4 linked regions of the Oreochromis niloticus genome follow. The protein of the gene in region 1 interacts with the protein of each later gene in a pairwise test. Links are inferred from orthologs where the notes say so. Each region holds a gene or a part of one and is shown on either strand. Other genes may lie near its edges. The genes, in order: efhc2, ccdc120b, ncdn and plod3.

What was found.
Region 2: the proteins of efhc2 (region 1) and ccdc120b interact in binary tests that used the Homo sapiens proteins (3 or more experiments, as listed by UniProt). The link is inferred for Oreochromis niloticus from reciprocal best matches to the Homo sapiens genes EFHC2 and CCDC120.
Region 3: the proteins of efhc2 (region 1) and ncdn interact in binary tests that used the Homo sapiens proteins (3 or more experiments, as listed by UniProt). The two-hybrid records come from large-scale screens. The link is inferred for Oreochromis niloticus from reciprocal best matches to the Homo sapiens genes EFHC2 and NCDN.
Region 4: the proteins of efhc2 (region 1) and plod3 interact in binary tests that used the Homo sapiens proteins (3 or more experiments, as listed by UniProt). The link is inferred for Oreochromis niloticus from reciprocal best matches to the Homo sapiens genes EFHC2 and PLOD3.

What each region holds. Positions count from the first base shown.
Region 1 is NC_031987.2:31,111,083-31,118,843, reverse strand, and holds the start of efhc2 (EF-hand domain-containing family member C2), read left to right. Parts: upstream 1-4,760; 5' UTR 4,761-4,892; coding exon 4,893-4,934; intron 4,935-5,191; coding exon 5,192-5,380; intron 5,381-5,624; coding exon 5,625-5,775; intron 5,776-6,841; coding exon 6,842-7,065; intron 7,066-7,206; coding exon 7,207-7,458; intron 7,459-7,761. Other genes in the region: fundc1 (FUN14 domain-containing protein 1), read left to right, coding at 593-662, 1,133-1,283, 2,528-2,603, 2,690-2,818, 2,923-3,000. UniProt on the Homo sapiens protein: Microtubule inner protein (MIP) part of the dynein-decorated doublet microtubules (DMTs) in cilia axoneme, which is required for motile cilia beating.
Region 2 is NC_031970.2:31,353,676-31,361,441, forward strand, and holds the start of ccdc120b (coiled-coil domain-containing protein 120), read left to right. Parts: upstream 1-4,760; 5' UTR 4,761-5,283; intron 5,284-7,766. UniProt on the Homo sapiens protein: Centriolar protein required for centriole subdistal appendage assembly and microtubule anchoring in interphase cells. Together with CCDC68, cooperate with subdistal appendage components ODF2, NIN and CEP170 for hierarchical subdistal appendage assembly.
Region 3 is NC_031985.2:13,970,751-13,978,469, forward strand, and holds the start of ncdn (neurochondrin), read left to right. Parts: upstream 1-4,702; 5' UTR 4,703-4,852; intron 4,853-5,072; 5' UTR 5,073-5,086; coding exon 5,087-5,290; intron 5,291-7,128; coding exon 7,129-7,719. UniProt on the Homo sapiens protein: Probably involved in signal transduction in the nervous system, via increasing cell surface localization of GRM5/mGluR5 and positively regulating its signaling. Required for the spatial learning process.
Region 4 is NC_031967.2:75,612,047-75,619,450, forward strand, and holds the start of plod3 (multifunctional procollagen lysine hydroxylase and glycosyltransferase LH3), read left to right. Parts: upstream 1-4,404; 5' UTR 4,405-4,545; coding exon 4,546-4,630; intron 4,631-7,404. UniProt on the Homo sapiens protein: Multifunctional enzyme that catalyzes a series of essential post-translational modifications on Lys residues in procollagen. Plays a redundant role in catalyzing the formation of hydroxylysine residues in -Xaa-Lys-Gly- sequences in collagens.

The sequences.
Region 1 (7,761 bases):
GTTCCAAAAAAGATATTAAAAAATCCCCATAAAAATAAAAGCTATATAAAACACAATAATAATGTTTTAATATATTTACTATTTGTTTCTTTATTTTGTTTGTCTGTTTTGTCTTTCTCTACCACTAGGCACACCGGGTTATTTCGAAACAAATTCATCGATTTGGTCCATAAGCCACGGCAGGATTTCTTCTGCTAATTTAATAGTGCAAAAATAACCTAAATAAATGAAACCTGTTATTGTCAGGAATTGTTTTCCTAATATCGGTTAGAAAAATAGGGGGTTAACTTTTAGAAAACCATCTCCACTTGGAATGCACTCATTTAGAGTTATTCTTAAAAAACAAAATAGCCACGACCAAAACACCTTTAGCTGCCCATACCTGTGTCCTAACAACCTTCAGTGCAGTGTATTGGAGGTCACGCGAAACTTGGATGGAGTTGCGAGACTGGCAAAATCTCCAAATGTTTCATAAGAAAGAAAAACATGTATTATTGTTATCATTATTATTATTATTATTATTACATAACGTATAACGTTACATTATATGTAGGCCTGCCCATGTCTCGGTTTCTTTTTCACCGTCAAATTTATGCAAATGACGCCGGACGTGAAGGCAGCTGAGGACAGACCAGTGCACTCCAAAATGGCGAATAGCAAGGGTAAGGAGGCCTGTAATGTTATTGCATGTTGTTCGGATCCAGGACGGTCTCGACACCGTGGGTGCATTTAGTAACGTTCGCGTTGCTGCTACGAAGCCTTGAAGCCGTTTTCCCGTTTCCTCTGTGGCGCTGACTCTCTCTTGGGCCGCACCATTTACAGCTAGCATTAACTTTTCACCTGTTAGCTTTAGTTGTGTAGTCATGCTAAGTTATTGTTAGGCCCAGGAATTTTAGTAAGTTGTAATGGAGCCCGTAATGAAACTATTGGTATCTGCCTTTGTCATGATAGATCTTGTTAAGTAAAAAAGCAGGAAACTACTACAGTTTATAGTTGAGTAATGGATAATAGCGTCTAGAATCGTGTGTTGATTTTGTAGCATTAATGTAACTGTGCTTGTAAGGCTTGTCGCTGCTGCATTCATTGTTATTTCATGCTAGCTGTCTTTTATTTTTCCTTGTATGTACACAAGTGGAAGATGAGATTTACGACAAGGTCGTGGATCTGACAGAATACGCTAAACGTCAGCGATGGTGGAACCGCCTTTTCGGAAAGAATTCCGGCCCCATAGCTGAAAAATACTCTGTGGCTACACAGATTGCAATAGGTGGAGTGAGTGGATGGTAAATATTCTCATTAAAATGCATTATGCTGCCTTTAGCGTTCCTAGTTAAGCACTTCATGTAGTTGTAGTTCTAGTAAATATGAATGGCTGAGAAACACCCTAACGCAAAATTAGAAAATCTCAAGGTTAATTTAGATGGTTATAAATTGCTCTGTGTCTCATCTTGTTTACAGTATATTTTCTGTTGGCTGATTGGACACGGATGTCTTTATTTCTTAAAGTACTATGCAAAAATCTCTAGCCACCCCACATTTCCTTTGCTAGGAAAATATGAAATGTGTGCAGACATTATTTGAAACATGCAAACATATATGTCATACAGTATATAAAGCAAAACAGAGTTTATACAATACTAATGACCTTGAAAGTGATCAAGGTCATGAGTATTCTTCAACAGCCTGAAGTCTCCTCAGAAAGCTTTCGTCTAATTCCTTTAAGCACTCTTCAAAGATAGTTCTTCAAAGTTCTCCTTTGAATGCCTTTTGTTCCATTCTTTGTCATGATGATCTCACACTGCTTCAGTAATGTTGAGGTCCAGGCTTTGCACAATTGGTGGCTGACTGCGTTCCACCGTGTTTTTTGTTTGTTTTTTGGAGGGGGGGGGGATTCTATCCAGGTATACCTTTAGCAGCGTGTATGGCAGCAGTTTCATTATTTAGTTTCAGTTTCCAAATCAGACACTTTGGAGATGACATTGCATGGTGGATCAAAGAACTTTTACTGTGTTCATGAATTTATTACTTTTGACAAGCGATTTACAATCCAGTTCTTGTGTCATTTGGCATACCTCAGAACTTGGAAAGGAAAGTCCAAAGAAAAAACATTAAAAGAGCATCAGAAGGGCTGGAGAGCTACTGCTCAAGGCCACTTTAAAAAATGACCAGGAGGCCTGGCTCCTTGGAAGCAAAATATATTGAAATGAGGAGTAGCTCAAAACGTTTTGCACAGTATTGTATTACATATAGTGCATGCTCATCTCGCTGTTCACATGTTACTGTAGCAGAGAGACAAAATTGTATTTTGCCATCACTTAAGAAAACAAATTTCACACTCCCAACTTTATAACTCTGCAGTTAAGGTATCTTGCAAACAGTGTCTTAGTTATACTTTATCAGTGGGACCTTTCACATCATGCAAACCTTATGACAGTGAATGGCCACCTCACAATGGTCATTGTTAGGCTAACTTGTGTCATTATTATTGTTAGATCAGCTACTATGCTCTCTTTTCAATTTGCCTTAGGTGTGCAGGTTACCTCTTCCAGAAGGTTGGAAAAGTTGCTGCTACTGCAGTGGGGGGCGGTCTTCTGCTTTTACAGGTATTATTGCATCGCCCTGCATAAATATGTGCAGGTTAAGCTTTTCAACACGTTGACATTGTTTTCATGAATCTGTCTTTCTTCAGGTAGCTAACAACAGTGGTTATATCCAAGTGGACTGGAAGCGAGTAGAGAAGGATGTCAACAAAGCTAAGAAGCAGTTAAAGAAGGGAACAGATCAGGCAGTCCCTGAGCTCAACACATTTGTTGAGAAGGTAATTTTTTTGTGAGTTGTCTGGTTGATTGTGAGATCATTTTCACCCTCCCGTTACAATGAAAAAGCGACTGTGTCATATGAAATATGATTTGTATCTTTCAGTCCAGAGAGTTTGTGAAGAAAAACATTGTCGTCACAAGTGGCTTCATCGGAGGATTCCTTCTCGGCCTGGCATCTTAGGACCTACCGAATGAGAAGAGTGTATTATTGGGGGGTTTTTTGTGTTATGTTTCTGATGTTATAAAAAGCTATAGAGGATAATTATAAGTCTTTGCTTATAATTAGCAATATTATAATTAAGTTCTCAAGAGTTTTAACAGCAAGTGACCAACAGATACCAGTTTAGCTTGGAGCTCTGTGTTTTTACTTAAGCTGCATTGCAAACCCTTCTGTTTATAACATCGTACTTGCAAGTATTTTTGATATAGACGTGGGACTTATTTATTAGCCCAGAATGGCCGTCTTGAAACACTCCAGTTTTAACGCCAAATAATAATACATATCATGGAAATTAAATTAAAAAAGGAAACCCAACAGAATGTTTCTGTTATTATGTATTTATTAAAAAAACGGACAATGTTCCAGAAGGAAAGATTTCCCACTGTGGTTGTGCACAGTTGGGGCAAATAGATTTCAGTTCACCTACACATGGCAGGGGATGCATGTCTTTAGGGTATTCTATCAGTGCCACTGTTAATTTTTATATTTTGGTTCAACACGTTATAATCAATCATCTTCAAAGTAAACACTGGGTTACACCAGTCTTTGCAGTCTCTGTTTTTTTATGATCTATTATGTTTACCATCACTTTGGGTACTGAAGGCTGTGGTCTGACTATTATGTAAGTAAATAAAAATAAAGAAATATGTTGAATTGTGTCTAATTCAATTTACAGTGCAGTTTATTTAACTGTAAAGATGATGAAACCTAGTCTCTGATGCCTTTGAAGTCTGTTAGTATACATTCATCCATGCTTTGGTTCAATAATAATAATAATAATAATAATAAACTTTATTTATAAAGCACATTTAAAAACCAAGGGTATGCCAAGGTGCTTAACAAGTAACATAGAGAGTAGAAGGAAGATAATAGAAATAGGACCAAAGCAAGTACTAGGTATGCAAGCAGGTAGCTGTCACTGATACATAGGAAAGCAACAGGTACAGAGCAAACAAGAAATTAGAGCATAAAAGTGCATAATATAAAATCATAAAAATATTAACTAGAGCGAAAGGCAAGATTGAATAAGTGGGTTTTTAGTCGTGATTTGAACAGTGCAATGGAATCAGATGCGCGGAGGACAAGAGGAAGGGTATTCCACAGTACCGGGGCAGCCAGAGCAAACACGCGGTCACCCCGGGACTTCAGCCGAGATCTGGGTTGTGTCAGAAGTAGTTTACTTTCACTTGGATTTTGTAAAATGTTTCACATATAATTAGAAACAAAAATGAGCTGTTACTCTGGCCATTTATTTTTGTATGCCCTACAAGCATAATAGTTTACAGTTTATAAAGAAACAGGGTGTGTTATAATGTATTCTTAAGTCCAACTTTAATTTTTGCAGGATGTGTGTGGCATACATTAAATTATAATTTTTTTAGGTAGACTCAGAGGGCTTATAGATAGTGTAAAAGTTCCAGCAAGAATTATTTCCAAATCAGAATGTACAGTAAACTATAAACAGCAAGGTATTATTTACAGGGATAATTACTCAATTACCTTAGTAGAGGTGGTAAAAAATATACCAACTCTGATACTATTTGTAAACTTTAATATATAAATAGTACACAAGTACACAGTTTACTCTCTGTTGTACTTTTTAACTTGGAGGAAAAACAATGTATAATTTTTTTTTTAAATTTATTGGCTATGTTAGCATCAAAATATACGATGAACAGCAATAATTTGAATATTGTTATGAAAATAAAAATATTTTATTGGTTCTTTTTGTTGCTAAGAGACGTGTCCCCAATAGACGTTTCCATGGTAACAGACCAATAACAGACCGTTGGAACTTCAGGGCTGCTGAGTTTTATGGAGAAAGTAATCCAACAATTATAAGTATTACCACTATGGCTTTACCGTTTCTGCCAGGGAACTCTCCCAATGAAAGAGTAAGTTTAAGACACTTCGTATTTTTCTCGCAAATTACTGAGTTTCGTTAGCAGGCGACTTCCTTAGCTAGAAACTAACCCCAGGTCGCCTGTTAGCTAGAGAGCACTTAAGCTCAGATAAAAGTGGTTGTACGAGTGGGTGAGTGAGGTATGCTGTTTAGAAAGAGCTTTGAGTGCTCAGGCATATAAGAACCAGTCTATTTAACATGTTTTTAATAGAAAGTGCTCAGATATACTTTCTCCTTTCTGTACCACAGCTGGGGAAGGAGAAATTCCACAAATCCCAACATTTTGACTATTCCAGTGGAGTCCCTATGCTGGTTGGGTCTGAGAAGCCAGGCATTGGAGGAGAACATTTAGTTGGTCAGGAGATTAAATCAAAGTACTCCGTCTATCCTATAGGAAGTGGTACCGGTTTACCACCATGGGTAACCTTTGACAAACAGGTGAATAATAGAAACTGATTTTAATTGTCCACTCAGACAAACACAGACACGTATTATGGTATAGCTTTGTGTTATTTTTTTTACGTCTGTTATTAAGGTTTAAAGCTTCCAATAGCTTGTGTTACTCATTCAAGTAAAAAAAAAAAATAAAACCTGTTATTTTTTAAAGCCTGTCATCATTTCACTAACTAAACATTTGTCATTTGAGTAATTTTAGCCACAAAATATCACTTTGTCCTTCTAGGTTCTGTGTTTTGATGCATACTTCCAGGAGACTGTACCTGAGGCTCAGTCTGAGACGTACAGAATCAGAAAGTGTAAGATCTACTTCTTCCTGGAAGACGATACCATACAGGTTGTGGAGCCGGAGTACAAGAACAGTGGCATTCCCCAAGGTGTCTGTGATATAACAGGAAATATCTTGAGAATATTGCTTAAATTCAATTACAGCCTCAATAAATAAATAAATAAACAATTAGACACTATGCAAAATGTAAATGGAAACAGAATGCAATGAGTTGCAAATCTGATAAACTCACATTTTACTCATAATAAAAAGTTGAAACATTTTTAAGAAAAAAATAAGGTCACTTTGAATTTGATGGGCGGAAGATGAAGAAGAAGAGAAGACAGAAGAAAAGCTGTCCCATTCTTCTCTTATAGAATTATACCTATGAAAGTTGTTATAGAGGCAGTATGTGTTTTAGCAGTGTTTTGCAAGTATACAAGACCTTCACTGAAGACATCGTCTGGATGGGCGCATATGTTGCTCTAAAACTTGTATATGCATTTCAGCACTGATTGCACCTTTCCAGATGTGCACACTGCCAGTTCCATATTCACTAATGCACCCCCATACCAGCAAAGACGCAGGTTTCTGAAGTGAGGCTGATAACAACCTCTATGGTTCCTCTCATCTTTAGTCCCAAGGACACTGTGAAGAAATAAAAAATCAAATATTGCATTTTAATTTGTCTGACTACAGATGCAGTCTATTTTGCCTCTGTAAATTTTAAATGAGTGTTGGCTCAGAGAAGATGGTGGCGTTGTTCACATACAGTTTCTTCTCTGCATGATTGAGCTTTAACCGTTTCTGCCAACCATTTGTGGACAGTGAACAGCGATTTCTGGAAGTGTTCCTGAGCTGATGCAGTGATTTCCATGACAAAACCATGCCTGTATTAGATGCCTTCGGGGTGGCGATGATCATGGGCATTCAGCATTGATTTTCAGCTTTGTCTCTTGCAAAAAGACATTTCTTCAGACTGATATGGTTTTATGAGTTTGTCAATGATTGCATTCTGTTTTAATTTACATTCTACACAGCGTCCCAACTCTTTTGGGATTAGGTTTGGACTTTTGTTCATCTTCTGCTTTTTCCCAAGTGGCCCAAAAATGCAATATGATGAGAGTTTCCAGACCCGTTTGTTACCAATTCTGTGTTGGTGATCCCTGTCATAGGAACACTCATTCGTCGCCACCGTATCCCACTGCCTCCTCCAAATGAAGGCCAGTTCTACAACCTGTTCCATTTCAACATCAACCAACAGATGAAGCTGTACTCTCGCACGTTCACTGTGACTGACTGTGACGCTTTCACAAGGAACTTTCTGACAAAACGTGGGGTGCACGTAAATAACCCTACCACTGTACCTGAGGACCCCTACAGCAGCCTCCGGGAACAGGTGAGCATCCGAAATACATTTTTTGTTGTTTGTATTTTATTTCAACTCATATAACTCTGTCGAACTATATTTTAATCCTCCTTTATTTATTTATTTTTAAAGAAAGTTATAGTGAATAATTTATTTGTTTCACGCTCTCAGCTCAAAAAGAGTATGCAGCCGCTTCGGCCATATGAGAGACATGATACGCTGAAGCAGTTCTTGGACCATGACCGCAAAGTCCTGCGCTTCTACTGCTTCTGGGATGACTCACAGAGCATTTATGTTGACTTGCGGGAGCTCATACTGCACTACTTCCTGGTTGATGACACCATAGAGATCCGGGAGGTGATCCCCCCAAATTCTGGCAGAGACAAAGTGAACAAATTTCTTCGTCGCTGCAGACTACCTAAGGTAGGTAAGGCAGCGTGATAAGAGCGCGATAACAGCTGTCGAGAAATGAGAGAATAAGGAAGAAACGCACAGACAGGTTTATACAAAAGGGTAAATAAGGGCTTTTTTGAGCTTGAAGTTTTGCTATTTCTTTGTTTTAGTTAACATTTAAAGATGGTTACTCCTAACCTAAAGGCTTGCAGTGTCCCTCTTTCTGGTTGTGTTGCTTCTTTTCGTCTTCCTGCTTTCATGGAGACCTCATTCACTCTGACAGGACTGCTTTAGCACCCAGTTTCCCTCAAGCATGTAGGCTTTCTCCTCCAG
Region 2 (7,766 bases), on another chromosome or scaffold:
ACTGGATATGTAAAGCGCTTTGGGGTCCTTAGGGACTATTAAAGCGCTATATAAATACAGGCCATTTTACCATTTACCATCTTTATATACCACAGTGTTTAATAATTCAATACACAGGCTAAAAAAACCCCTTTAAAACAATAGACTGTAAATAAAAGATGGCACCAAATAGTTTTTAGCAAATTGAATTCTTAAATTTAGCTTCACAACCATCAATATCTTTGTTTGTTCTTATTTATTTTTTAAATTTCTTTTAGCCATAAGTGAGCATATTTGGACAAAAAGTTAGAGTGCTGAATTGTAGTTAGCCCCCGCAAGATGTGCTGGCATGGTGTATGAACTGTATGGATGTGTACAACAGACACAGCTAGCTGCTAAGTAGTACAAAGTAACAGTTTAATAATGTTAAATTATGTAAAATTCACCCACATACAGTTGTAATGAAAGCTAAAATTAGATATAGAGGGGTTTTTTTTGGGGGGGGGGTGTTATTTATTTAATTATTTAACCAGACTTTAACATTTGGGTGTTTTAACATGAGATTCTGTGGGATCTCGCTTGTTTTATGAGCCAGCCTCAAATAGCAACTTGAGGAACTACAATGTGCGGAGTTTCTTTGTGGGCTCCCCAGAGGCTGCTACCCGATACCTCACATAATCTCCATTAGCAGCGTCAGAGGTTTCCTGTAGCTGCAGACTTCTGCAAAGGATTCATTTCTGTCCACAGATGGTTTCAGTTTATTAATAATAAACTGTGTTGTTGGACTCTGACACAATTTGATGTGCAGGTGTGGGCTGGGTGTAGTTTAATATTTATAATTTTGCAGTGAGTTAAAGACTAAGGCGTCACTCTCATGAGACCAACTTTGTCAATACAGGAGCAGCAAAACAGATGGGATGCAGAGAGAGCACAAAGTGGCAGAGAAGCTACAAAGCAAGTTGTTGAAGAAGAGAAAGATGAGTTGCCCATGGTAAGTGTCCTGCTGAGGCTACCCCCGCCCCCCACAGGCAATCATATGCGTATGTATTTTTATTCGTTTGTTGTCTGCAGATTACACAGATCTTCAGTTTGGCTGATAACCCAGTTGGGACTGGTGCAGATGCAGAAAACCACCTCATGAAACTACTAGACTCTTTACGCTCCTCTGTACTGCCCATATTGTGGTATGCTATAATGGTGGAGGGCCCGCAGCTGCAGCTCATCCAGTGTTCTAAGCAGTCCAGCATGACCGACACCATGGTGCTAATCGACCCGGGCTTCTTCTATCAGGTCACCGTCCAAAAGCAACCGCTGCTCCCCACCCACCCGCTGTACGACTGCTACCCAGCACGTCTAACCTCGGTGACTGAGGTGGTTAATTTGCTTTTTGGGTCTGGAGAAGTACTCTGTGTGCCAGGGGGATGCCTCCCAAAGAACCATTACATTATAAAGACCCCATCATACTGGAACGGTCATCAACATGTGATTTCCTGGTTAAGAAGAATGTGGGCATTTGTAATAACTGCAGAGCACTTCAACTTTAACGTCATCACAGACAGAAATGGAAAATAAATGTGAGCAGAGTGGAGACCACTGGTTTTCTAGTGACACTTTGTGCAATTTTATTTTATTTTTTGGTGATGATGTATATCAAAACTTTACAGACTTACCTCTGGACTGTAAATGGTTTATTTTAAGAATCACCAAAGGCATTTCAGGAGTTGTGACATTATAATCCAGGCGTGTTTCTTCTCAGACGTTTTATTATGTAGGTGTAGGGCTTTTCTACTTGACTGTTATGTGTCTTGGCTTTGGCAGTGTGCTGAAGTCAGCCCTCTGTGTGGTTAGTGTGCTGTTGGTTGATTCACACTCTTACTTGAGGAATATCCCTCACCCTCCTTACCACTATTACACATTTTAGTAGCCCTTTCAGACAACTGTACTACTAGAAAATTAGCCCACGTGTTTGATTCCCAGCATTAACACTGTTGTCATGCTACCGGGTTCGTTCATACTATATACAACAAAGTTAATAGAAGATTTGTTTTGGTAAAAACAAGTGTGCACCTCAACTGCTTTCTTTTTTAATTTAATAATATATTCATTAGTGTCATCACTGTTGTCACTAACACTCCATTTATTAGCACTCCATTTATTTGCATTTTTGCATTTGCTCCCAGTGATGATACTAAGGCTGGAAAAATGTGAGGGAATTAGAAAGGGTACCCGGTGGCAAATCAGATGTGTTGATCCATCTGATGTGGTGACCACTTGGGAAATAAGGGAGCTGCCAAAGGTACCTTTCTATTAGAACTAGTTATTTAAATTGAATTATGTGATTATTTCAAATTCATGACCATTCATACTGGATTGTAATGATGACATGTTGATTCTGGGCTGAAATTACAAGCATTTTTTAAATATCTTAATCTGATTGCAAAGTAGACTATCATTTGATTAGCTCTCCCACTGAAGGCAGAATGTGCTCCTAGCATCAGCATGTGTGGTGTGATGAATTTCATACGACCTTTAAAAATGCATTGAAGTTGTCCCATGACAGGAAAAAAAGTACAATTACCTTTTGAGGTTTGTTCTCATAAATAACTAACTTTAATCTCAAAACTTTTTTTTTTTAAACAGCTGTTGGGTAGGTCAGCTTTTTTGTAAACCTAACCTACCCTCCTTTTTTGCTTTCATAGGGTGAGTTTTTGTTATCATATTGCATCAGAAATATCTGAAAAGTGGGAAATATATCATCACAAACTGACCTAGTATGGATATTATGCTAAATTTGTATTCACCCCATTACTATGACAGTCTAAAGTCATTTGAGCAGAACCCACAAGCTATAAGTAGGAGCAAGCCACTGTTTTAAAAAATATCCAAGACATCTGAGATAGTAGTGATTTTCCAGAACATACAGTGACATTACTGGTCAAATATTTAATTGAATATTCCCCAAATAAAGAGACAGTGTGGATGGTTATGCAAAGTAAGTATAAGTAACACTTAAAAAAAGGTACCTTTGTGTAATCCTATGTTGGGGTTGTTGTACTTGTAATTTCTCTCAATTTTAGCCCAATTTGATGTCTAGTGAGAATATTTCACACTATATCTACTGAAAACTTTATTCAATGACCCGGTATTTAGACTTGACACTAAAAACATTGTAACACCTTTTAAGATCTCAAACAAAACAAAAAAAACAGATGAAGATGAATGTAGTTAAACATTCCTCACAAATCTCAAGCTAAAACCCAGCGACAGGATTACAGTTGTTGTGACTGGCACCATGTTAGCTGAGAACAGTAAACTTTCCTTAAAGGTTTAGTTTCGGTTTTTCGAGGTTTTTATTGTTTTTAGAACAACATGCTCTTGTCAAAGTGATGATGTAGCAACAATCATCGTACAGATGACTCTGAAATAATAATATCTGAAATAATAATAAGCACTTAATGAGTCTTCTTCTGTCTCTGTTCTCGAGTAGTATAACACTTGGCCTTTAATTGTATTTTCAGCCATATAATGTGTTTTGTTTTTGTTTTTTAAGTGTATAATAATTCAGTTTTTACCCCCCATTACAAACAACCTCCTGCAAGTTTTAACAATGTGAAATTTTATGCATTCTTGATGTGATTTTTTTTTTAAATGTTGTTTTCCTCAAGTAATTGTGCATATGTTGAAATATTTGGGAACAGTGGGTTATTCCTTTAAAAAATATTGTTATTTAGTCTTTGAATTAAAACATATTTGAAGAACTGACACTGGTTTTCCTCATTTCTGGTCATTTTTGTCTTTGAGTATGTAATGTTTGGTGATAATGTTAGAATATTTTGTATTATTTTACAATTGATCAAATGTGTCCAAATCATCAACTGAGTAGAATTAATTGACTTAAACTTTATATGCAGTAACATCAATTTATGTGGTTGCTGTCTGCTAATTATTGAGTTTATGGTTGAGTCAGTGGAACACACAGCCTAAAGAAAACATATAGCCTATAAAGCTAAGCAAGTCTTAAACATACTTTGATCAGTTAATATAAATCAGACTCTAGAGAGAGTTGATATACATTTGACAAGAAGCAGACTTGACTGCAACAGTGTGATGTTCAGAGTTCAGCTGTGCCTTTAACAAGCAGTTATCACTTTGTCGGTTTTGTTGATCGTTCTCATGAGCGGTCAAAAGCTTTGCTATGAATTCTCTTTTCAAAAAAAGATGCTCCAGCTTGTCCTGTACTGAACAACATAATCAAGGAGGAATCAAAGTGCTGTACTTAGGAACTTTCTGACGTAAAACTGGCCCTTTAACCACAACTTTCAGTTTCTCCTCTATGATGTGTTGCCAGGGCTTTAGTGCAGCTGTTGTTTGAGAATCTCTCGCCTTTAACTTTGTCTTCAGAGAGTGAAATGTGTGCTTCAGTCGGTTGGTAACAGGTGTTTAACTTGCCCTCTTTAAAAAGTCCTTTTTTGTGTGGAGCCACTTTTTTCTCCCGTTATTTGGTGATGTGTTAAAAAATATTTTAATTTGTATAAAGCCGTTTCTGTATCGGATACACTTCTTAATACTTACAGTGAATTTTCTTAAAACATTTGAAGCCCTGAAATTAGTCCAATATTAATCCAATCCGAAACATTAAAAAGTCAGCACTTTAAATGAATTTGAATGCGTTTTTTTACACCAATATACATATACCAATACACGTTTATTACTATTGAAGTTATTGAATTAAGGATGGAAGAACGCAATTAACTTCCCATTAAAAAGCCATGTTGGGCTGCTATAATTTTGTATGGTGCGGTCCAATTTAACTCTGACATAGAAAGCAGTAAAACTAAAACGACTATTTTAGTTTTTTGAGTTGAACGTATCAGTTTTTAAATCTGGAAAAAGTCTCTTGGGGGTTTGGGGAGGGTTACCTTGCTGCACATGAATCCACGCTACTGTGCAACACCTGGGTCATATTCGTATTAGCGGATCGAGTGGCGCACATTGAAGGCATGTACCATCTGGGGAGGGGCATCGTCGCTGTGGTCGTGGTGGAGTCAGCTGGCTGTGTGAAAGAGAGCGTTTTCATGCCGTGCAGAAAGCAGGTCTGTTGAGATGCGCAGAGCTCCGACGCAGCGGAGGTCGCGAGGCTGCTGGTGAATTACAATTGGGATAGTGAAGCATCATGAACGGGCAGCTCTTTTCCGTGGATCTCCGCACATTTTGCCAATAAAAACAAGCAGGAATGATTTTCCTCCCCCTGCTTTCGCTCCAGAGAACCATGGAGACCTCGCAAGGCATCAGTCATGCTCTCTGGTAAGAGGGGATTCTGCTCCAAGATGTCCTTTTCCATCCTAAATGGGCGTATTAATTAATAGCTACCAGTACGGCTTTTAAAAATGATATATTTTCTCTATAAAATGAAATGCATCGGCCTAAACGCGAGTCCGCAAGACGTCCTCGCATCTGTTCACGCATTTAGCTCGTGTGAAAAGACGTTTGTCATCGTGGCGGGCTGTGACACACCTGCGATGTGTTATCGCTTCCATAATGAGTCCGGTGCGTTTCATTATCAGCCGGTGCGCCGCCGTCTGCAACGGCTATGCAGATGCGGGGATCAGCGCAGACTGGATGTGCGAACGCGTGCTTTATGTTGAGCCAAATCACATGTCCGTACGATGAATGCGAGGACCGCATCAAGTGAGAGCCTCGCGTTTGTGTACGCGTTGTGCCAGAAAACAGTGCAACGGGTCGTTTGTGTGGCACGCTCGTCAGGAGGCAGGGGGTGGCAGAACTGCAAGAACGTCTCAAATTCAATTTTTAAAGGAGTGAAAATGTGTGCCAAGCTTCCCGGGAATGCATAACTTCTCCCCTGTTGCTGCATTGTTATGAAGCAAAAAAACAGACCCGAACATCTTGTTACTGCCGTCTCCTGGGCCTTATTGCTTCTCTCCTCTCATTTATTAATACTGCTCGGTCACATGCAGCAGCGTTAAGCTCCTATTATTAACAGATCCCTGAGCGAGCCTGTCCGCCAGGATCCCTTTTGGTGGGGTGGGCTCGTAAAAATGTGTTGGTGCCTTTTACAGTGAGTCACTGTACTCCACCTTTTCGCGTTTCTGGGAAACACCTCTGTTTTTTACTAGAGGGTTTTCCTTTGAAGCCTTATGCTCATTGCTCCTATTTTATTTACAGTTGTTAGTGCAGGGAACACCAGGACATTTACAAGCAAAGGGGTTGGTGTGCTGGGAGACCATTCTCATGCTCAGTTTCCTCTTGATCACAGGGATTAGGATGAAACCAGTCATGTTAGTGTTTCTGTTCACCCGTACAGTACAAAGCACTCCCTTTGGCCTTTGTGTTTCAGTACAGTTCAGTCACATTCCATGGAAGTGGACTTTGACCCAGATAGCTTTGTCACAGTTGCATTTTTTTAATACTTACATTTTTTAACTGGTTGCATCAAGGTTACACTATTTTTTTCCTTCCTTTTAAATGATCCCCTTAAGACATGGGCTGACACAAATTTGAACATGTGGTTCTGTAGTTGGTGAATGACAAAACATGCAGGTAAAGTACAGTGTGAAAAGAAACACTGGCTGCTTGATCTGATTCTAGTCATTTCACTACTTCTTACTAGCACAAAGACATAGAGTTGCAATGAGAAACATTTAGCTTCATCTAAAGTATCTTGTTGCTAGAACCAGGGAATAAAGTCTGATCAAGCGACTGTAGTACTACAGATGGGGGAGCATATTCACCTACTTTTCTTCAAAACACAAAACAATCAGATCAAGGTCCTTTTGTGTGTAAATATTGAATGTAATGGCGTGGCTGCTGTGGCTGCACTTCATAAGTCTGAGCGAAACAAAAGCACTGAACTCTTTCCAGAATCAGCAAAGTGGATTACAGCAAGCCACAGAGCATAAAAACAGCTTTGGACATACAGAAATCCCTCCAGGTGTTACAGAGCAAAGGAAAAATGTATAGCAATAATCCCCTCGGACATTAGAGTCACATTCCTTTCTTTATTACTCCACCCTCCTCTCCTCCAACCTCAGCTTAGCGGAATCCAGGTGGATAGCAGTCACTGGGCTTTGCTTTGTTTTGCCTGTGGTAGTTGTGTCAAATGTAGAAAGGTGAGCATCAAGGCCCGGGGAGGGAGAGAGGACGAGCTATACGATTGGTCAGCCTTGGCTAAGCTGCCCTGCCTTGTGCTGATAAGTGCATTATAAATCAGTATTTCATGGATATAGAGAGCAAAACGAAGAGATCACATTGGTGCGCGGGGTTGGTTGGAGGGTCACCTGACCCCTGCATAAGCCCTCCATCCACAGTTGTAGGGGTTGCCCAGGTGGAGGCAGCTCTGAATCAGCCGTATGTCTGACCTTGTCCAATCTCTTGTTCGTTGAATCATAAATTACATCTTCCTCCTTCTTACATTTCTACTCCCATCCTCACCAGCAAATCTCACCAATGGCTCTACAGTGTCCTTGGGGTCTGATAGTCAATGTTTGGGAGTTGCATTACTGTTCTCCTATAGATTAGATCAGTATGGCTTTAGACATGGAGAAATGCTGTCCTGGTACACCAGTGAAAGCAGTGAGGTACTACTTTGTAACAACTGACACAGACAGTGGTGCAAACTGTAGTTTTTAACTGTCTGCTGCCTATTAACTTCTCAGGAACCAGCGTGGGATCCTCATGCTAGCCTAACAGGAGCTGTGTAGTCGTAACCCTCCTCTGGTTCACATGTGTAAGTTGACAACAGCAGCAGCTGTGTCAACACCAGCGGTCAA
Region 3 (7,719 bases), on another chromosome or scaffold:
GTATTTGTGTGTGGGAGTGGGCTGGAGGGTACGTATGTATATATATTTTTAAGTTGTATCTGGTATCTCCAATCTTGGGGCAACACTGGTGTCCCCCAGGAAGAAGGTTACAAGTTTAAACCTCCTGGCCAGTCCTGAGCATTCTTTAGGTTAATTCATCATGGCCATAAGTGTGGATGTGAGACAGGATGTACCACGTCGCTTGCCTTGTGACAGCTCAGCTAGGTTCATCCTCATTGTTAAGCTGGATAAGTCTGTCCATGTATACAAACATCCACCTACTTCCTTCTGCTGGATAAGCAGCAGGAAACGGCTGGCAAAAGTCTAAGCAGAGATACCGAGATAACAGTTTCCATGCCAGCCGAGATATAATCACTCCAGTGTGTCCTGGGTGTGCCCTAAGGTCCCTTCCAAGTTGGACTCGAGCCCACCTCAACTGCTGGATTAGTCAATATTGTGTTTGCCATCCTCTGGGGACTGTATATGGAAATTAGGTATGACGCATGCTTTGTTTTGTGAGGTCAGTGTTTTTGTGCATGGTCCCTGTCAAATAAATACCAAAGCTCCTGAAACACAATGTTTAAGGCACGGCCAGGCCTCTTCTCAACATGGCCTCACCAGGAAACTACTGTGGGGCAATATAGTAATAAATCAAGCTTTCATATCCATCTGTTGTGATCACACTCTAAAGAGGTTAGCTAGATGCTGTAGCCATATGGCTGGAAACACATCCCTAATCCTCCACATTAGTAATTAGCCTGTGCCATCGGTGCCAACCTCTGCAGAGTTACTACTTTGTTGGTTTAAAAAAAATTGAATAAACAGAAAATATAGTTTGAGAGAAAGAAGTAATGTTTGTGTAAGGCACTGTTAAAAATGTCCTGATGCTTTTACTAAACTGATAATGATCTTATTTAAACAAAGGTAAGCATTAAAAGTTTAAACAGCACTGTTTTCTTGAGACAAACCTACAACTATGTTACTTACTGCATTTTTTAAAAGGAAAACGTGGTAGTATCAAACCTGTATTGCTGGTCTGATTCCTTATTCAAATCTGCATTCCTGCACGTGACACTGGAGCACCGAGCAGTCTCTTTCTCTGCTGTAGTCACCGGCTCAGTCTGTCCAAATATCCAAACTGCTCCGTATCCCGCTTTTGCTTATTTTTCTCTCCCTGGTGAACGCCCAAAAGGGGAAAAAGCTCCAGGTGAAAATGATCCAGTGCAGAAAATGGGCAGGATTCAGTTAGGATCCGGCAGCCTGGACAGCGTGGATTTAAAAAAAAAACAAAAAAAAACAAAAAAACATGCAGCAGCTGCCCTGAGGCACGTGGTGACTTTCACTGTGTTGCAGCAGTAACGCTCAGGTGCACACGGTCACCTGGGCTGATGACAGCTTGGCCATTACTGACTTTTTAATGGCCAGTTCACCCATGAGGGGTTTGTTCCAGAACAATGATCTCTGTCACCGAAACCCTCGCTCGCCCGCCCTCTCTCTTTCTCCTTCTCTCTCTCTCCTCCTCTTACATCTGGCAAATTCTCTCCCTTTGACTTGTTTCTTCCTCCTCTTCCTCTCTCAGCAGGAGCAGTCAGCTCTGCATCGGCTTCTCCGCAGACAGGCTGATGTAGCTTTTCTCTGTCCCACGCACAGCTTCCTCCAGCTGCCACAGGGAAGGAAAATCAAGTTTTTATTTCGCTTTCAGGCAGCATACCCAGGAAATAAATAAATAAAATGAATAATCATGACAAACTGCTTATTTTGTTGTGACAACTCTACAAATATCCTTAGAGCAATAACTACACTAATCCTAAAACAAGATTAAAAATGGAAGACTCAAAAGAAAGTACGAATACATCACATTAGTCTTTAACTCACTTTAAACATTACTGTTAGCCTAGATCTTGGTTTTGGGTTTTCTCACTTATTGCATATACAGCGCCTTCCATAATGTTTGGGACAAACACAGTTTGTAGTTCTGCCCCAATCACAGTGGATTGCAAATCAATCAATATGTGACTGAAGTGCTGACGTTCAGCTTTAACTCAAAGAGCTTTATAAAAATTTTACATGTACTTTTTAAGAATTACAGCGACTGCTATACACAGTCCCCCAAATTATGAGATTCAAAATTAATGAACATGAATTGAAAGACTCTTTTTAATACCTTTATGAAAAAAAAAAAACTTTGCCTGAGGTCTAAACCCATGGGCATCACCAAATGTTGGGTTTCCTTGCTTGAGTTACTCCATCAGATCTCTATTACAGCCACCTTCACTTGCTGCTCGTTTGTGTTTGACAATGGAAAAAGCGTACTCCGTTGGGTTTAGATCAAGTGACCGATTCGGCCATTGATGAATATCCCATTTCTTTTCCTTGAGAAACTCTTGGATTGCTTTTTCAGTTTGCTTTAAATCATTTTCAGTTTGCACTGTGCAGTCACATCATCAGGGAACACTGGTGACTTTGTTCCACAGCCATACACACCGATGCCACAACACTGCCTCCACCATGTTAGACAGATAATGTTGTATGCTTTGGATCATATTCCATAATTTTCTCTTCACATTATTCTAGTTCAAGTTAAACTTGGTTTCAGCTCTCCCAAGTTATTATTATTATTATTATTATTCATTATCATTATTATTATTATTATTAGTCACAGGTCAAAGAAGTACAAAGGTGTGGGTAACAAACGTGTGCCATTTGCAAGGACTCATAGGATTTCCGTGAAATCATTATGTATTTTAAACGGAGCAACTGAAACTAGATTCACTTCTAAAGTGCATCTGGGTCTGGGTCTCAAGTTACATAGCAGAAATTTTGACCCCCGCTTGAGCCAGGCTGCAGACTCAGATTCTCAAAGGGGGTTGCTCTTGGTTGCTCCTTAGATTTAAATCTAATGGTTTTGTCATCAGGTCCCCTTGGCTTTGGAGTGACCTGCCTGAGGAGAGAAGGCTTGCAAATCTCCTTAAAAAAAATCCTTTTAATACTTTTCAATTTGCCTTTTATGTCTTCTCATCAGTGACATCTTTTTACTGTCCGGTTATCTGCTTTCAGTTATTTTGTTTGTGGTCTATGTTGCCTGTTCTTGGTTTTTTATTGATATGTGTACACATTTTAATCATTCTTTTTTCAAATCTATATTTTTCTGTTTGTCAAATCAAATTTGTATTCCTGTTATGATAACAACAACAACAACAACTAAAAGTCATTCTTAGTCATTTCATAACACCAAGTATTTGCCTCACTAAATAAAAAACGTTCAGTATCTGCCAGTTTCATATCAGAGATGAAACGTAGAGGGACTAAATAAAGAACATTACTTCAGCCTCTGCTGGCCTATTTTATTTTGTCAACTAAATGACTGATAAACAAAATAACCCTGATTTGCTGACTAAGCTCCACTCTTGTCTCTTCTTATTCCCGTGCAGCCCGTAATGGACTGCTTAAAGCGCAAATTGTTGCATGTTTGACTATATGAATTAAAGTCTGTCAAGTCAAATGAGACGCATGAGTAAACGCACTGGAAAAAAAACACAAAAGCCAAAAAACCCCCCCCCCTCATACTATTAAGACAAAATGGTGGGCTCGTGCATTATGTATCTTGCGAAACTGAAAAATCGCTTAGGATTTACTCAAGACAGGACAGGACGTGTTCAGCTGTCAGATAATTCAACACAGGCCAGTATCTGCCCACAGCACAGTCTGCTGCACTGTCATAATATTATAAACAACTGTGTGGGGGGGTTGATGTATTAACCCAAGTGCCACTTGCGCGCATTTAGCAGATGTTATGTTGGCATGTCGACGTCCAAGCACTGACACTGGAAGGCTGAAGTAGCCCATCGTAAGGTATTTCACCTGTTTAATCCCGGGATCACTCGCATCCAAGGCACCTTGAGGCTAACAGCTGCTGACATCTCTCATCGGACCCTACACAATGCGTTTTAACGGCAACTGCCCCCAGTAACACAAGAGAGAGAATGCGTGCACGGACTTACACAAACAGAAAATGGTAGACTTTCTCTTCAGCTGCTCGTTCCGATGTGTAGTCTCTTGTTGTCCCCTGCTCTCCAAATTAGGTCAGTACTCCTCTCGCTGATACAGCTGATATGCCGTGAGTGAGTGCTTGACTGTCAATACAGTGCCTTTCACGAAGGGTTCCGGTGGTGAGATTTTCAAAACAAAGTAGGCAGTGAAAACAGCAGTTATGCGATGGTTAGTCAGAGCAGTTTAGCGTGTTACATCTGCAAGTAAAACCGAAAATCCTAACTAAATAGCTATATAGTTTTAAGAACCTGGATATGAGCCCATTTTATTTCTTGCGATACAGATTATTCTTAATTTTTCTTTTTTAACCAGTTGTTATTTTTATCATTTTCTATTTTTTAAATTATTTATTTATTTACACGTGGATTTTTGGTGCATAATGAAAACACCCTATTTATTCATCATTTCACGTACAATACAAATTAAATTAATTTGTTGTCTTAAGCTGAAAACGTTCAACGTGCATCCAGCTAGTTCCGGTTTACGCCTCCTAACGAGGAGCCGTTTAAAAATGTAAATGCTCAACTCAATGAGTGCTAATAAACTTTTTCTCTTTTATATTAAAAAATTAATAACGTTTTTTAAAAAATAAAATTAAAATGATAAAGCTGGATAACCTCGTTTATCTGACGTTACGACACGGGCTAAAATGGCGGTGTCGCCTTCCAACAATCCGCGTTATGATTGGTTGCCTGATTTTCTTCGGGCCTTTTTATTGGCTCGTGACATCTTTAGCTTGACAGTGTGTTTCCGGGGGGAGTGAGCACGAGCAGTTGCGGCGTGCAAGAGGGTTGTCAACAAAGTAAGTTGCATTGTTAACGTTCACCTGCTCAAATTTTAAATTTATATACATGTACAATTTTTGTCAGCCATTAGCGGGACAACTGACAGCCAGTAAATTGGACTACTCCCGTTAGCCCAGCGATGTGGCGCTGCGGTTTCTTGCAATCAGTGCTTGAAAGACTGATTGGAAATTCATTGAAAAAGTTTTTCTCCTCTTTATGTCTCTCTCGGTCGCATAGTTACCGGGGTCATAATGGCTGACAGTGCTGACTTTACACCCACCGTGAACAGCCAGTCTCCTGGAAAAGAGGAGCAGGGAGGAGGTGAAGGTGGAGGAGGCTCAGAAGGGGATGTAAAAGGCGGTTTGACTGATGCCCAGAGAGGCGTCTTGGAGAGGTGTGTGCATGCGCTGAAGCACGCTAAAAACGACAGTCAGACGTTGGCTGCTCTTCTTCTGGTAAGTATTCGTTTAATTTACGAATCGAGATAAAAACGTGAATATTGTTAAAGGAGTTGATATAAAACTATTTTAAAATTGATTTTCAGCTATTTGGGGATTAAGCTTCCCCAAAATGATTGAAACTAAAAACTTAAGGGAGCTTTTCTTGGTCTGAGCAGCCAGTTGCATGTTGTTCGTTGTTTTTGTTTTTTTGTTTTTTCATAAATACAGTTGCGTTTACCAAATTCATGGTTATTTGCAAACATTGTTGGCTTTTTTTTTGTTTTTTGTTTTTTTTAACTACCTCTGCAGCCCTGCATGGGCAGAAGTATTGGGTCACACCTCCTAATCTTTTGAATTTTCAGTCTCATCGTCACAGGTGTGTAAAATTAAGAAACCAGCCAATTAAAACCTGAAACAGTGTTTTCTCAAGGGTCTGTTCTTGGCTTTAACCTAAAGCTTTAAAGCTTCTGCTTGGTACTGTCATAAAGAATTATAATACCTTTCATTCTTATACAGATGGTACACAGTTGTACTTTCCCTCTAATCTAGCCCCTGTTCACAAACTGAGCTGCACTGATGACATTAACCATTGGATATCTAACTATTCTTTTATAGAACTGAACAGAAACAAGACATTTATATTTGTTGTTACTCCAAAGTGTACTCCAAGCAAATCAGGAATCTTGGCATTATTTTGGACAGTGATCAACATTTTTGATAATCATATCCATAAGGTCTCCAGAACGGCTTTCTCCCACTTCATTTTCTAACTGTTGATTACATTTTCTCAAACTTTCTGAGAAATTGGTCCATGCATTCATATCTAGCACGATGGCCTGCTGTAATGCTCAGTTTGCAAGACTATCAAACCATCAGTAGGAGATTTCAGCTTTCAAATTTCACAATGCACCAGCAGTCATTACATGTACATCAAAGTACATGTAGAATATTGAAGAAACTTCATTGACTCTCCCTTTAAGGTGGAATTTTAAATTCATTTCCAGCTATGTCTACATTCTAAAAACAAACTCAAAACCTTTTTTTATTCTCACAGGCTTACAGTTAATAACTTTTATGGGGGGAAGAGAGGAGAAAAAAAAAAAAAAAAAAATTCTTTGAAAAGTTTGTCTTAATGCATTGTAGGCCTACACGTGTGGGGTTTTTTTTGGGGGGGGGGGGGGGGGGTCATTTATGTTAACCACATTGAGTTTGTGTGTAATGAAAGGTCTTTTGTAAATAAAATTGCCATTGCTGTGTCTGCCTTGACAAATGTGGGTAGAAAACGCATCATGAAACTGGCTCAGAGTGGTGAGTAATCTGATGGACGGGTCTAGGTTTGCAAATGCCACAGCAGTTACTTGCCTAACTGTATTGTGCTAACTATAAAGTTTGGAGGACGGATGTTGCTTTGGGGTATTTCATTCAAGTGAATGAGATCTTCATGGTTCAGCTCACCAAGAAGGTTTGGACAACTCCGCTTCTAGCTTTGTGGGACTAGTTAACATCGAGGTTCCTCTGTTCCAGCATGTCTGCCCCAGTGCAGAAAGCAATGTGTCATAAAGGCATGATTGGATGAGTTTGGTGGGGAAGAACTTGACTGGTTGGAACAGAGCCCTGACCATCAAACACCTTTAGGTTGAACTGGAACAGAGGGCATGCCGGATGAATGAATGGACAACAAGGAATTGCAAACAGATGAAAGTATCATTAAAAATTGCGTGCTATAACACTGTTTGTTTGGGGTGTTTTGTTTTTTTTTGTTTGTTTTTTTTTTTTAAAAGTAGACAGATTTTACTGATATGTTAAATTGTGCCTCAACAAAGACTAATTCTACTCTTTCTTCACATCCTCAGATAAGTCGCTTGTGCCCAGCCAGTGAACTGGACAAACCCATGTTGAGGCGCATCTTTGAGGCAGTGGGCCTCAATCTTCCAGCTCGGCTTCTGGTCACAGCAGTCAGAGGGGACGAGAACTCTGGCTTGCCCCCAAATGAGCTCCTTTCGCTGGGCACGGCTTTGCTGGCTGCCCTGAGCACAGAGCCAGACATGGCCTCCAGTCCCCAGCTCCTCGCCACCGTCCCCCTCCTGCTAGGCATCTTGGTAAACGGTCCTGTGTTTACCCAGCAGAAACAGGAGGCCCGGGAACAGCACCAAGTAGGGCAGAGTCCAGACGGTGAAGTCCAGTCAGCAAACATTTCAAACCCAGACTGTAATCCTGCCAGTGTGGCACAATCTGCAGAAGAGACTGAGAGCAGCAAGCAAAAAGGTGATGATGGCAGTGAAGCAAGCAGAGTGTCGACGTCTCAGGAGAACCCTCTCTCTTCCAGCCTTGATGCGGCCTTGGCTGCTGACTGCTACCTGGTTTTGACAGCTGTGTGTGCCTTACCCAGAGGCTCGGAGCTGCTCCTGAGCAGGGGCGCCATCTCTGCTTTGTGCCAAGCGGTG
Region 4 (7,404 bases), on another chromosome or scaffold:
CTAACTTTAATTTGGTGGAAACCTGAAATACACTGAGATGTTAAAGTTTTTTAAAACTAGTTTTAAAACTATTAGAAAATTGCTGGCATAAAAACATCTTGAAAGAAATATTATACAGAAACAAGTACTAATATTCCCACAAAAAAGAGTGTAGCATGAAAATGGATCACACATACACTCTACTCACTCACCTAGAGGATCAACATCACTCAGGTTGGTGCTGTTGATGAGCTTCCATGAGCATGTTTCATTCATGTAGACCCAACACTCATATATTCCAGGGTCATTATTCATCACATTCTTCAGAATCAAATTCCATAATGTAGCATTCATGAAAGAAAAAACCCAGTTTTGAAAAGATGGATCCTTCTGAATGAACGTGACCATCACGTAATAAACACACATATTTCTCCACCATTGGTTTTATCCACTTTACAAGAGTCATGACTAGGGATGGGTATCGTTTAGGTTTTATCCGATACCGGTGCCAAACCGGTACTTTTGAAACGGTGCCGGTGCTTAAACGGTGCTTAAACGGTGCTCAAACCAGTGCTTAAAGAATGGAGAACACAAAATTGGTCCAAAACCCTCTCATGTTTAATTGTTTTCCACTTTTTCTTTGGTCATTTTAGCCTTTTTGGCCAGGGTGAAGGGAGTATCTGCCATCAAACAAGAAGACAGTAACTACGACGGTGTTTGCTAGTTCACCTTACATGCATTAATGTAATAACGTGGTTAGCGTACTCAACGTTAATTACACACGAACAACATGAAGCTACTCACGCAGAGAAGAACGGCTGCTGCTGCCATCATCATCCTCATCATTTCTGCTACACTGGCAGGGCTAGGGGCCAGGACTCTCCTCTTCGGGTTTTTGGGGGATGTTGCTAACTCCGGGTCCGATAACAGGCACCACACCCGCAGTAGATGTGCACGGTGTGAGGTCTCGCAGCAAGCTATCAAACACAGCGCATTTCTCGGCTTTAAAAAACCCCGCTATGCGTCGCCAGGTGTTTCATCAGATTTGAGGTGTTACCTCCTTTGACAGTATCACAGTATCAGCTTAAAGCACTTGTTGCAGGCTGCTGAGTTTGCATCTTTTGCTGTGAAGTACAGCCAGACTTTTGACCGCTTCTCCTTGGACATTTTTAATCTGTAGCTCTGCTCTAAAAGAACGCGCGTACCTGGCCCCGGCTACTATCCTCGGAAATGTAAAATGATTGGCTAGAATTGGCTCAGGAAAAAAAAAAGCACCGAAATAAAGCACCGAAATGTGCGCTGCTTTTCGGTCTGGTTACTACCGTTTATGTCAGAACCGGTGCCACACCGGTACCCATCCCTAGTCATGACTATATTGTCTGGAGCTTGACATAGCAGAGTGACATTTTGTCCTGTTTCAGCAGAGATGTTTGTCTGAAGAAAATGAAAAGGGAAACAACACAAAGCAGAACGGTTAAATTAACTGTTCACTTCCACAGCAGCCCACCACCGTGAGGCTCACTGCTCAGTAGTATCAGACAGGTATAGTAAACAATGGGCAGAAGAGTTAACTCACTTGAACCTGGGCGCACACCTGTTGCTGACAGACATTTACTTAATCAATACAATGATAACTCTTTGGAGCATCTTGTTTTTATTCTAATTAGGCTTGCACTTTTTCCTCCTTCAGTTATCACAGCTTCTGGTGATAGGATACTGACTGCCTTTAATTTATCAAAAAAAAAAAAATAGCCTGCTATATCTTTTCCTAATTGCTTTTTCTTGATTTGATGGAAAACGTTACGACCACAGGGATATAGATTTGTATTTGCTCGAGGATTAGGCATTTTGGTTTTTCAAAACAGTAGGGCTGCGCAGCATCTCTGTGAAGAGCGCTGTGTAGGCGCTGTTTAAATGCCGTTGAGTGTTGTAAGCCGGTTTAAGCAGATTTCATTACTCTCCGTCCAAAATTGACTGAACATCTGTGTTAAAGTTGCCAAAGAAAGAGTAAAAATGATAATAACTTGAACTCCGTAAGCGACATATAACCTTAATGTCCCTCCTGCCTCCAAATGCAGAGCTATAAAATTTTACTTCAGATCAATAATCTAAAAACAAGATTGTGTGACTTTAATCCTTATGAGTTTAGCATTAGCATTAGCATTAGCATTCCCATATCGATCGAGAAATAAGAATTACTTACTGTTGTTTTGGAATCAGAGATTGCTTTTTCAATCATTTTGAGCAACAAAAACAAACAAAAAAAAACTTCACTGTCACTTTCCCAGAATCTGCAAGTTATTTCAAAACCTTTCTACCGCTCTCTATAAACAAAATGCTGGAAGAGACAGAGCATCGACCCTGTCACATGATGGTGGGGGAGGGGATGGAGGATAGTGATGTGTCGGTCGGAAACGAAACGGCTCTTAGAGCCGGATCTTTGAAGTGAACAACGCGAGCCGTGTTTTTTTTTCTCTCCCATCCTCTCTCTTTTTTCTTTTCTTTTTTCGCTTCACTCTGCACGTGAGCTTTGTGCTTTGCGCTGAGCAGAGAGGGGAGGGGCGGTAGTTACACTCACAGTTGCACAGGAACAGAGCGGGAGGGAAAGAGAGAGAAAGAGAGCCAGGGACAACAACAAGAGACAACAACATCACATTAAAAAGGTATAGTTATTATTATTATTATAACAGTAATCATCCACAACTATTTTCAGTTGCGAATGATAAAGTATTCAAAAAGTTTATTCATGCAGTGAATCCTATGCAATTCCAAGGAGGAAAAGACTCGCCCAAAAATCATCCCAGGCCTATATGACAGAGAATGTGCATCTTCTTTTTGTTTAGCAATGTGTTTTGGAGTTTGCATGTACTTTGTCTCTACAGGCCACCATATATATTTATATATAAACATATATAAATAAAACCACTTTTTTTTAAACATTATTAATTCCTTTTGTGTATAATTTTATATTGTTGCTGATAATAAATTAATTAAAGCAACAAAACAACCTGAAGAGCCGGTTGGGAGCCGAAAGAGCCAGTTCTCTAAAAAGAGCCGGAATTCCCATCACTAATGGGGGAGTGGTCCTATCTCAGTTGTCATATGGCAACCGGGAAAGGTCACCAGTCTGTCACAGAATTTACAATATACTGAATAATATTGACAATTACAGTGATATTTGACATTATATAGCAGGATGTTTTGTTAAAACATCCTGCTATATGTTCCAGACTTCAGCATGGTCACTTCCCACTAGTTAATGCAGGGATTACTGTGATATGACTGAAATCTGTTTAATAAAAATTAAAAATACAATAACTAAATGTTTGATTTTTGTAATTGCTAACAAAGTGTGGCTACTGTCTCTTTCTCCAGCTCTTTACTTTCATATCTTGAGTAAAGAGTTAAAGAGTTAAAGAGTACAAAGAGTTAAATACTGTCTTTAAACTAAAATAGAATAGATTTAATTGTCAATGTTACAAGAACAAGGAAACACAGCACAAATTTCGCCTCCGTGGGATCAATAAAGTCTTATCTTATCTTATCTTATTCCTGGTCCCAGTTGATTAACACTGTGTATTGTTGGGCCCCTTGTTGTGACACTGTGGTGTAGATTGTAGCTTTATTAAATCCTGAGACACACAGAAAGAAACCAGTGATCTAGAGTTTAGAACATCCCATACATCCACCCTCTAATAAGGTATGCTTTTAGCTTACTAGATGGTAAATGTAGAATAAATGCTGGATTGCTGTATTTACAGAACAGTTATGATTGCAGTCTCTTCTCCCAGCTCTTTACTTTTATATTTTGAGTCAATTATTTGGGAGAAAGTGATTCTTTTCTTTTCTTTTCTTTTTTTTTTTCTTTCTTTTTTTTTTTTTTTTACAAAAGAGCTAAAGAAAAACGATTTTGAAAGTTTATTCATGCAGTGAATGCTATGTATGCTGAATGTCAGTAAAAGAACTCACAGTATTAATATTTCATTAGGAAAATGTTAATTGTTTCTTAAATAAATTATGTAAATAAATACTAAATTATGATTACATTTTGGGTCTAATTATAATGATTAAACATCATTATAATTGCAGACATGCAACTTTAAAGCTATATAAAACCTCTGCCGACGTACGCTCTCTCTCCGTTTTTCCATGTCCTCGCTATGTCTCTCCCTCTCCCTCCCTCTCCTGAAAGCCTCAGACGTGGCAAAGATTCACGTACTCCATTTTTCACGAACTTTCTGTGGTTTAGCCCACCGAAAAACGGAGAGAAAAAAAGTTCCCATCTGTCTGCCTCTTATTGGCTGGTGGATTTCCGACTATCTGCGCTGATTGGATACCAGCTCTGTCCGTCAAAGCTGTATCGCGCCATTTCTGCTCTCATTGGCTGGATAGCTTTTTGCGGTTTCTGTCGACTTTATCTTAAAAGTCGGAAAAGGTGACGAGTATCGCGAGAGTTGAGTGCCGACTGAGCGGTGAACGTGAAGAGAGAGGGCTGGGGAGAGAGGAGAAAGAGTGGACTAAAGCTACGGCCTACAGTCTAAAGGGAGCCGTTTCCAAACATCCAACATGTCCTCCTGTTTTCTTCTCTGCTTGCTGTCTCTCGCCTTTTTCCAGGGCGCCGTGTGGGCCGAACAGCGGAAGCTTTCTCCAGGTAAGACCGCTGTGCGGGGTCCCCTGGCCGGCCAGGCGGACCACCGTAACCCGCTGGAGCTGTGGAGCTCCGGGTGGTTTACGGAAAGGCTGCTCATCACGTCACAAACCTATTCACTATTTTCAGAGTTTATTCCGTTATTCTGCTGCTGGGTGAGTTTAGGAAGGATGTTTATTAATGATTAAAACCGTTAGCGCCACAGGACCGTTAGCAAACTTTAACAGGGGTCCCTGCTCCTTTTATAACCTCATATACTCTTATTGTAATCCCTACAGGTTATTAATGATTCCCTAAACTCTGGAAAATCTTAATGCGCAACTTCGTTTCTACTGCGGATACACAGTGTGGTTAACATGTATCAGTTTTAATCAAAGTAACACAAAGGTACGAAGTGCTTCACATATAGGATAAAATTCAAATATTAAAGAAAGTTAGACATCCCCACAAACAGACACACATTCACGCAGGGATGCTTACATCCAGCAGTAAAGATTACAAATCACTGATCAACCCACTCAAACGAGGTTTTACAGCTTCAAATGAAAGCTGGGACTTTTAAAATAGTATGATTGTTTTGATTTAATATTTTACAATCATATAAGAATAAAGAATTTTAGTTAACTGCATTTAAATAAGTCAAACATTTATTGTAAGTGGATTAAATTAGTTTTAAAAAGCCACTGTGGGAGCCCACAGCATGTTTATGTAGCAGGATTAATGATTTCCATCATGAACCTCTCACGATGATGTTTTACACAGAATAAACGTTTTTAAAAAGAATAACCGGTTTAAATCTGATCTGTGTTTTCCATATAGTCCTGTCTTTGGTGCCCCTGTGAGGTTTGTTTGCTCAGCTGTGGTTTGTATTCATGTTTATATTACTTATGTGATGCGTTTTTAAAGGGAGCAGAGTGAGACATGGGACACTGAGGAGGAGATTTCCTTCTTGTTGTAAACCTTTTTTAAAAAGTTAACAGACACTCGGATAGTAACAGAAAAAAATAACTGAACAAATGAGGTTTTTAAATATTGGACTGAAATCTGAAGCCATTTTCACTCATTCATGGGATCCAGTTTAAAGACTTATTTTGCTTTATCCTGAGATTAATTCATTCATCAAATCAATAATCAGTTTTACAGGTTCTTCCTCCTTCAGGATCTTTGAGTATGGCTGCTTGTTTGTAGTTGAGACACAGACGCTACGTCCAGATGAACAGAATCAACTTTTGGAGATTGAGACACAGTCAAACCGAAGTCCTGTGCACTTTCCTCATATTTTTGGTCTTTTGATACATAAAAGTGAATTCTTTGCTTGCACTTTTATCCCAGTCCTGATGCTTGTTCTTCAGAGGAACACCAGGATTGTTATATTTTAGTAAAACCCCTTTTTTGTATATATAAAGAAGCTGTTAAATTGTTAATAATAGATAATAAGCTGGTGTTTTAGCTCATCTGAATGCTTCAGATATCTGAGCTCACAATGAAGTGTCTCAGTTTTTCTCAGGTTCTATGGCACACAACACAGCTCAGCTGAAGACGTATTTCCCTAAAACACCTCAGACAATCACAGACACAGTGAAGTTAACCCCGAGAGGCTGTACCTCTGTCACAAAGTGAATTTGTGAACCAGTGAGAACATCTTACTTAAACTCGCCTTCTTCCTCTTCCTCTGGGAGGTCGTTGTATATCTGAGCACTTCCTCCATGTTGTGCTCAGCGTCTCTGAATCTGACTTATGACACTGAGCATGACGAGTTTCTATTGGCTGAACTTAACAGAGTTGGTTCTCGTTATAACTGCAGTCACAGAGTTTGTGTTTCATCAGTTTTTATTTATTTTTTACATTTCTGTTAGAGACTTTTATAGGAGTCATTTACAATGTTGACTCTTCTTCATAACTGCTGCAGATCTCTGTGGCTGTTAGTTAATCACAGTTTGTAGGCTTCTGTTTGTCCACCTGCTTTTTAAGCACTGATCATAGATTGTGGATCAGATTAAGATGTGTCCATGGGCCCAAGATGTTAATTTGGGGATCTCTCCGAGGCTCTGTGTTGTCATGTCTTCTGACATGGTGCTCCCATCAGGCTGGAAGATGCTCCTGGCAGGTTGGAAGAAGGTGGTTTTTAGTGTGGTCAGTCCTTAGAAAGCTGAACAGGGATCAGCTCAGAGCCCAGATGAGGCCGTATGGATCTCCATCAGCTGGGGTTTGTGCCACTGATGAAAATCCCAGCTGAAGTCTGTCGCATGTGGAACTTGAACTGCAGGTTTCCGGTGTGAACCCCTCCAGTCTGCAAAATGGAAAATCCTTTGTGTACATGGAAATGGTCGGTAGTAGGACTGCCACAAACGATTATTTTGATAGTCGACTAGTCACCGATTATTTTTGCGATTAGTCGACTAATCAGATCATGCATCCATTGGATGTAAAACGTACAGCTTATTGCACCAGCATGCATCTGCTCTTATACAACTATCATTAGCTTACAGCTTTAAGTGTTTAAGGTATGTGCTAACTAAACATAAAGACAAGATGAGAGTTTATTAAATTTTAATGAAATTTGCAGGTTGTTTAGGTGAAGTTTAATAAATTCAGCCGTCTGCTCCTTGCTAGGTAAAATATAACAGGACACCGGAGTATATTCTCGAGCATCTCACACTTCTGATAATCAGTTGTCTGCTTGACGTTTATTCAGCTGTGTAAAAACTAGAACTTTAATCTCAGCCAAACTGATTTACTCGAAACAAATAAAATACTGACAAAAGCAAAACGATAAC